Linked DNA regions of Macaca mulatta. The protein of the gene in region 1 purifies or fractionates together with the protein of each later gene. This does not show direct contact. Links are inferred from orthologs where the notes say so. Each region holds a gene or a part of one and is shown on either strand. Other genes may lie near its edges. The genes, in order: PPP2R5A and AXIN1.

Region 1 (3,808 bases):
CGAAAAGCTTGCCATTCATTTCCATTAGGGTTTTCAGCACATTGTATACCAGTGCTACAATGGTCCTGAAATGAAAATGAGCCAGTCCTGAGTTATGATACTGCTAACAGAGAGGAAATGTTAACACTATGGTCTCTAAAATGGTTTAAAGGTTGGCTGATTCATTTAATCCATTTTAGAGATGATAAAACTGAGGCTCAAGAGGTTTGTAATATGCTCAAGGTCATACAGCAAGTGGTGGTAGAGAGAGTCTAAGAAAAATCTTTTCCACTTTATCATGCTTAAATTGTAGTTAAAAATGTTCACTATAGTTATCTTCATTTCTGCTTTACAGTCTCATGTCTGAAATCCTGAGTAACAACATTAAAAGATGAAAAAGATCCAATTACCAAAACTTATAAGAAAAGTAGAAAGCCAGATAAGGATGTTAAAGAAGTTAGAATATATTACCCTTAGCACTTCGGCTTTCCCCTAGGACAGTGCCACTTATAGAGGTGAGACTATACACTGGGAGCAGACCAACACAACTCTGCATTAACGAAGTAGTTTGTGCATCCTCTGCAAATGTTCAGTTGGTCTCTCCAACAGGGTTTCACCACACTCTGGTGCAGAATGGTATACCAGATAGTCCACCCTCCAGGGAGATTTGCAATTTTAAATTGATATGAAGGCTGGGCACAGTGGTTCATGCCTATAATCTCAGCACTTTGGGAGGCCAAGGTGAGATCATCACTTGAGATCACGAGTTTCAGTCCAGCCTGGGCAATATACTAAGACCTCAAGTGTCCAAAAAAATAAAAATAAAAATTGGCTGGGTATGGTGGTGTACACCTGTGGTCCTAGCTACTCGGGAGGCTGAGGCAGGAGGATTGCGTGAACCCAGGAGTTTGAGGCTATGGTGAGCTATGATCACACCATTGCACTCCGGCCTGGGCAACAGAGCAAGACTGTCTCTAAAAAAAGTTAAAAAATAAATTGACATTAAGACCACATAGTGAAGAACATACACACACATTTATAACTTGATAAAGGTATATGTATATAAAATACAAAACAGAATACAACTGATGTTAACCTTGGAGTAACTTCCAAATCTGTAATAGGTTTCAGGTATGAGTTAGGAAATCAATGACAAAAAGGTTTTAAAAAAAATAAAGAAAGAAAAATAAAAATACGACCTATATAAAAGATACTTACGGATTCCAGTGTTCTTTGGAAATTTTGTACAAACTGGCAAACATAATTGGCAGAATTTTATCAATGTTCTCCTCAATCAAACTAAGAATATATTCATTATTCCAGAAGTACAATGCCCTTTCTGCAACCTAAAAAAAGACATTTAGAGAAATGTCAAAACTAAAATAGGAAAGAAATACTAGTGTAAAGTAAGGGCTTCACTGAAAACATCATACCTGAAAATGAGAACTGGATACACACTTGGATATCTGCTTGAAAAGTGGCTCTTCAATTTTTTTGAACTGTGTTGGTTCAATGACATCTAAGATTTCTTCAATTTCTCCTAAAAACATCACCTAGGTTAAAAAAATTTTATTTTAAGAAACATGATAAATTATGTGAAACTAATATAGAAACCATACAAATGAGAAGGTTAATCTGCAGAGTATACAATGGGCAAAAAAAATGTCTGGGTGGCACAGAGTTTATTATAGCACAAGTCTTCTACCAAGTCTGTGTACATCTCCCGCTCGTTAGCAACAGCAATACAGCTAGCCCAAAGCAGCATAGCCCTGGGATTGACAAGTTCTAGTAAAATGCACTACATTTAGTGAACAAAACCCACCTCTTTCTGACTGCAGGTTTTTGGCCAAAATTTCAGCAGTCCTCTGATCACCTGCGAAAAAGAAAAAGTTTAGCGTGAATTTAACAATGAAGCTAGTTAATCCCAGGGTATTTTCCATAGCTATGATTATATCAACACTCATTCTGAAGTAAATCAATATTGCTTAATATATAAGTGTATAAGCAGACTTTCTGCTCAGCTTTAGAATTTTATTAATTCAACAAATATTTACTGAGTGCCTACTATGTACCAGATATTGTTCTAGATGCTAGGGACACACTGATGTATAAGATAGATGAGGTCTCTGGTTTTCATAGAGCTTACATTCTAATGGAGCAAGACCAATGCAAGTGATCAATTAAACACATAAAAATTTAATAGTATGTGCTGCTACTTTTTTTTTTTTTTTTTTTGAGACAGAGTCTCGCTCTGTCGCCCAGGCTGGAGTGCAGTGGCCGGATCTCAGCTCACTGCAAGCTCCGCCTCCCGGGTTCACGCCATTCTCCTGCCTCAGCCTCCCGAGTAGCTGGGACTACAGGTGCCCACCACCTCGCCCGGCTAGTTTTTTGGTATTTTTTAGTAGAGACGGGGTTTCACCGTGTTAGCCAGGATGGTCTCGATCTCCTGACCTCGTGATCTGCCCGTCTCGGCCTCCCAAAGTGCTGGGATTACAGGCTTGAGCCACCGCACCCGGCCAGTATGTGCTACTTCTAAGAAAATAAAGGAAAATACAAGTTGGTGGGGTAAGAGGGAGGTTATTTTAGGGAGAAACCTTAAGGAACAGATGATTCCTGTTATTTAAACCAGTATGAAGCACAAAAAAGAGCCGGACAGCTTCCCAGTCTATTTCATGGCTAGTACAATCTTTATAACCAGAATACAATGAAACAAAAGAGACTATTCTTATTTATTTATTTATTTTGAGACGGAGTCTCACTCTGTCGCCCAGGCTGGAGCACAGTGGTGTGATCTTGGCTCACTGCAACCTCAGCCTCCTGGGTTCAAGCAATTCTCTGCCTCAGCTTCTCGAGTAGCTGGCATTATAGGCGCCTGCCACCGCACCTGGCTAATTTTTGTATTTTTAGTAAAGACAGGTTTCAACATCTTGGCCAGGCTGGTCTTAAACTCCTGAGCTTGTGATCTACCAGCCTCGGCCTCCCAAAGTGGAGACTATTTATTTAAATAAACATAGTTGAAAACATTTGCATTAAACTGAATCACAATAGAAGAATGCTATATGCCTAATTGTAACTTATTCCAGAAATGCCAGGATGGTTCGATTCATAGGTTAAAGGGGGAAATAAAAAACAGATCATTTCAAAAGATTTTCAAGTCATTTGACATTTTTAATTAACTATATATTCTGATAAAAAAAATTAGTAAGCTAGAACTAAATGAATTTATCAGAAACCACCAGTAATCATTCTACACAATGATTTATTAGAGACAGGCTGTAAAACCATCTAGTCCTGGTGGTTTTGTGGAAGTAGATCTTTGATAGCTTTTTAGGTTACTTTATAGTCTGTCTGGTTCAGTAATGTGGAACACTAATTCAAATTAAAATTGAGAAGAATATTGTTTTGGAGATAATCCAGTAAGATAACAATGTGATGAATAATGTTGGAAAGGAATACCAGAATTACAATTACTTGTGTAAATATATATTTATATATCCCCTAAAACTTAAAAAAAAAAAAAAAAAAACCTGCAAGTTACTAGAGTAGGAAAATTCAGTATGTGGCCACATTAAAAAATATGTATATAAAAATCAATACCTTTATAAAACATCAGTAAAAATCAGATGAATAATAAAAAAGGTACTTTTCATAAGAACTGTAATGTGCATAAAGAATAAATTTGCAAGAAATATTTAAGACATATGAAGAAAAGTATAAAACTTTACTGAAGATCATAGAAGATTACAAATACAGTTATATGTCATTTAATGATGGGGATACGTTCTAAGAAATGTGTCGTTAGGCAATTTCATCATTTAAACATCGTAGT
Region 2 (4,498 bases), on another chromosome or scaffold:
AGGCCCAGTGAGCTGTGCTATCCTGCTGCTCACACACCACTTCAGCGGCAGCCACTCTGTGAGCCCTATCAGCATGGAGGGAGTACCCTAGGTGTGGGCACCTCCACACTAGCTCACGGTCATCTGTCTGGGACGCCGTCACAGGAAAGAAGGCCTGCACCCTGACCACCTGAGCCTTACCGTGATAGATGCGCTGCCATTCACTAGCTTGAATATTCATCAATGAATATTTAATTCATTGATTTTTAATTCAATGATATTTAATTCTTTGATTTAATTCATTGATGTAAAAAAGACAGACATTTGTCACAGATGCCAAACACTGGCTCTCTACAGATGCTGAACTACTGTACTACAGAAAACAGCAGCAAATTCTTCCAAAACTAATGGGTTTTATTGTTTTGGTTTTTTTTGTTATTTTGAGACAGGGTCTCGCTCTGTCGCCCAGGCTGGAGTGCAGTGGGGCGAGTTCAGCTGACTGCAGCCTCAGCTTCCCAGGCTCAAGCAACTCTCCAGCCTCAGCCTCTCATATGGCGGGGACTACAAGCAGGAGCCACCAACGCCCGGCTAATTCTTGTATTTTTTGTAGAGATGGGGTTTCACCATGTTGGGCAGGCTGGTCTCAAACTCTTGAGCTCAAAGCAATCTGCCCATCTCGGCCTCCCAAAGTGTTGGGATTACAGGCCACCTTGCCTGGCCCCAAAACTAATGTTTTAATTCATGTGTGAACCAAGTCCACCTTAATTATTTTAAACTATTTTTCAGAGCCCAGGAGAAAATTTTTTTATAATCATGTGTATTTTGGGCTGTCAACTGACAGAAGACTTTTTGGTGTCCCTGGAAGCACATGAACCCCTCCACAAGTTACTGATGTTGTTAAAACATATCCCAATTCCTGAAATCTCTGGGTTTCCACATGGAAGCACACCAAGCATTTAGTGTACACACACGTAGACACCACACATAAAGCAGTTATGTTTACTCAGGTTAGCATCAAATGCCCGCAAGCACTGAATCTGGCCCACAGCCTGTAGCTACCATCAATAAAGTGAGTCCATAAAATGGGCAGGATGCCTACAAGTCTGATATCGTATTTAAAATTCCCTTTCATCACTGCTTAGGCATATGCCCCAGGCACCATGGCAGCAAACTCAGTGCTACCTACGTGTGTAGGTATTTATTTTACCCAAACTTAACTTTTGAAATTTTGATTTACATGGAGGATGCAAGTAAAACAGCACGACTCTGACATCTTCCCAGCTGTCCACTGATTTAACTCTTGAAGGTTCAGGGCTACTATTTCACATGTAATTTGTTCCCCCATCACTGAAATTCTCAGTGACTAATGTAATCCGAAAAAGTCTGCTTAGCTTTTCTGAAACTAGAAATCCAAGTCAACACCAGCTGAAAATCAAACAAAAACACTGTTTTTCATGCTTTCCCATCCTTGTCCCCGAATGGAGATCTTAAAACTGAAACTGAGGCCAGGTGTGGTGGCTGACCCTTGTAATCCCAGCACTTTGGGAGGCCGAGGTGGGCGGATCACCTGAGGTCAGGAGTTTGAGACCAGCCTGACCCACATGGAGAAACCCCAACTCTACTAAAAATACAAAATTAGTCAGGTTTGGTGGCACATGCCTATAATCCCAGCTACTTGGGAAGGCTGAAGCAGGAGAATCGCTTGAACCTGGGAGGCGGAGATTGCGGTGAGCAGAGATCGCACTATTGCACTGCACCCTTTATCAATTATCTTAGAAGGGGCCAGGCACGGTGGCTCACACCTGTAATCCCAACACTTTGGTAGGCCGAGGTGGGCGGATCACCTGAGGTCAGGAGTTCCAGGCCAGCCTGGTCAATACGGTGAAACCCCGTCTCTACTAAAAATAGAAAAATTAGCCGGGCGTGGTGGCGCATGCCTGTAATCCCAGCTACTCAGGAGGCTGAGGCAGGAAAACTGCTTGAACCCAGGAGGTGGAAGTTGCAGTGAGCCAAGATCGCGCCACTGCACTCCCAGCCTGGGCGACAGTGCGAGACTCCGTCTCAAAAAAAAAAAATTATCTTAGAGGGGGCGGTGGTCACGCATGTAGTCCCAGCACCTTGGCAGGTTGAGGCAGGTGGATCGCTTGAGGCCAAGAGTTCAACAACACTTGCTGGGCAATATAGTGACACCTCATCTCTACAAAAAAAAAAAAAAAAAAAATTACCTTATAGATGGGCTGAGAAAAATCCCTAGAGAACTGACATGTTTTTCTCTACTTTCTTCAATGCCAAGCCGAAAGTTTCACTGCTCAGGCAATGCAGCTCTGGTTTCACTGGGGGCTAAATTCCAAAGTGCCGGGCGGGAGGTAGAATCTAGGAACCACACCCAAGAGAGAGACGAGTGTTTGGGCAGCGAGGCATCAAACCTGGAGGGCACGAACGCCTGAGCACGCGGCTACTCAGGCCGCACCGCGACCTGGACCCGGTACGCGGCCTCGGCGAGGGCGGGCGGGAGTGCCCTCCTCCGGGGCAGCCGGACTCCTGCCGACTTCTGGGAGGCGGGGAGGGCTCCAGGCCCGGCTCTCCCGGAGTTCCCGCACGCGATGCGCGGCCCCTGCAGCTGCTCCGCGCCCCCAGACGCGCCCGAGGCCTCGGAACTCCAAGCGGCCCCCGCGCCGCCGGTCTCGCTGCCCAGGGACACCCCTGCCCCAGCTCCCCGCGCGCCCACCCCCTCGGCCCCACGCGCGTCAGCCACCCGCGCCCCCCGCCGCTTCCGGGTCCCGCCCGCCCGGCCTAGCGCGGCCTAGCCCGCCCCGGCGCCCGGCCCTACTCACCCGCGCGCGGAGGCGGCGGGGCCCCGGGCCCGGCTCCCGGAGCGGCGCGGCGCAGCCCGGCCCATGCGCTCAGCGGCAGCGCGGCGGGCGGGACTCGGCGGGGGCGCGGCCCGGGGCGGCCCCCATCTCGGCGGCTGCGGCTCGGCGGCCCGGGGGCGGACGCGGGGCAGGCCGCGGGGGCGCCGCAGGGGCCCAGCCGCCAGCTCCCACCCGCCCGCTCCGCGTGGACGCGGCTCCGGGTCGACTCCGGCCGGCTCTGGCGGCGGCAGCGGCCACGATTGCCTCCGGAGCCGGAGCCCGAGCCCAGAGCGCCGAAGCCCAGGCCCGAGCGCCCCCGCCGGCGGCGCCCGGAAGTGCGGGGGCGGGGCCGGGGCGCGGGGACGAGGTGAGAGCGCGGGGCGGGGCCTCAGCTCGGGGCGGGGCCGACAGCGAGGGGACGAGGTAAAGAGCGTGGGGCGGGGCTTCAGGCGCGGGGCGTGGCTGAAAGCGCGAGGATAAGGTGAGGAGCGTGGGGCGGGGCAGACAGCGATTGGACAGGTGAGGAGCGCAGGGCGGGGCCCAAGCACGGGCGGGGCCGGAAGCGAGAAGACGAGGTGAAGAGCGCAGGGCGGGGCCTTGGGAGTGGGGCTGCGGCCAGGGAGCAAGGCGGGGCCCGCCTCGAGCCGAAGAGGTAACGAGCGTGGGGCGGAGCCTCGTGCGCGGGGCGGGGCCGGAAGCGAGGACGAGGTGAGAAGCATGGGGCAGGGCCTCTGCGTGAGCGGGAGAGGGGTGTGGTCAGCCCCTGCCGGGGGCGGGGCGCGGCGGGGGCGTGGTCGCGCGGTCTTCCCGAGGGGCGACGCGGAAGCAGAGCCGCGGCGGCTGCGGCTTCCCGGAGTGCGGAGTGGGGGAGGCGCCGCTGCAGGTGCTTGGAATGGCTGCGACCGTGGGGAGCGCTGGGCGGACTGCCCGCCCCGACGGGCGCACGCGGGGCGCAGCCCTTTTCTGCCGCCAGTACATCGGTGGGCATCCAGGGGGCTGCAGGCCTCGGGGCTCCCTGCCCCGCCGGCCCTGGACCGGAGGCCCCCGCGGAGACCGCCACGGCCTGCCAGCCGCCGTGAGGGAAGCAGGCTCCCAGGAGTTGGGTGGTCGGCAGGCAGGGATGGCCAGGTCCCTTGGAAGGTGGCGTGGGCTCCACCCTCCTGAGTCCCCAGGCAGCCGGGACTCACAGCGCCAGGGAACACATTAGGCCCCAATATGTGCTGGCTGTCACCCGGACAGGAGCCACAACCTCCAAGGAGCCCACCGGCTAGGACCCTCTGCCTTGATTTCTCCCAGGCACCATCTAGTATCAGAGAAGGGTTCTCCTTCCCTCCGCTGCCCAGGCCAGCCTGAGAGGAAGGCCATTGGAGTGTCTGAAACCCTGCAGCCCCTCCCCTGGGCTGTCTCCACAGCGGCCCTGCCAAGGGGTGCAGTCCAATCCTGCCATCTTGGCTGCCCAGATCCGTGCCACCTGCCCTGCAGGCCACAGAGCACAAGGCCACAGCCCCAGGCATCCCACAGCAGAGAGGCACAGGACCCCAGCAGCAGCCCCCACACCAGCTCTGGCCAGCCCAACCCTGTCAGAACCAACCCTCTGCTCTCCACCCAGGCCTCAGCCGACCATCAGGCCCTGCCTCCCCCAAGGAGGAGGATGTCAGTACCAGGAT

The links.
Region 2: the proteins of PPP2R5A (region 1) and AXIN1 purify together in Homo sapiens (affinity purification with western blotting; 3 studies listed by BioGRID and IntAct, with this or other methods). This does not show direct contact. The link is inferred for Macaca mulatta from reciprocal best matches to the Homo sapiens genes PPP2R5A and AXIN1.

What each region holds. Positions count from the first base shown.
Region 1 is NC_133406.1:70,093,029-70,096,836, reverse strand, and holds part of PPP2R5A (serine/threonine-protein phosphatase 2A 56 kDa regulatory subunit alpha isoform), read right to left. Parts: intron 1,853-3,808; coding exon 1,802-1,852; intron 1,533-1,801; coding exon 1,413-1,532; intron 1,326-1,412; coding exon 1,198-1,325; intron 66-1,197; coding exon 1-65. UniProt on the Homo sapiens protein: The B regulatory subunit might modulate substrate selectivity and catalytic activity, and might also direct the localization of the catalytic enzyme to a particular subcellular compartment.
Region 2 is NC_133425.1:1,566,768-1,571,265, forward strand, and holds the start of AXIN1 (axin-1), read right to left. Parts: upstream 3,089-4,498; 5' UTR 2,814-3,088; intron 2,698-2,813; exon of another isoform or gene 2,406-2,697; intron 2,353-2,405; exon of another isoform or gene 2,205-2,352; intron 2,177-2,204; 5' UTR 2,175-2,176; coding exon 2,097-2,174; intron 1-2,096. UniProt on the Homo sapiens protein: Component of the beta-catenin destruction complex required for regulating CTNNB1 levels through phosphorylation and ubiquitination, and modulating Wnt-signaling.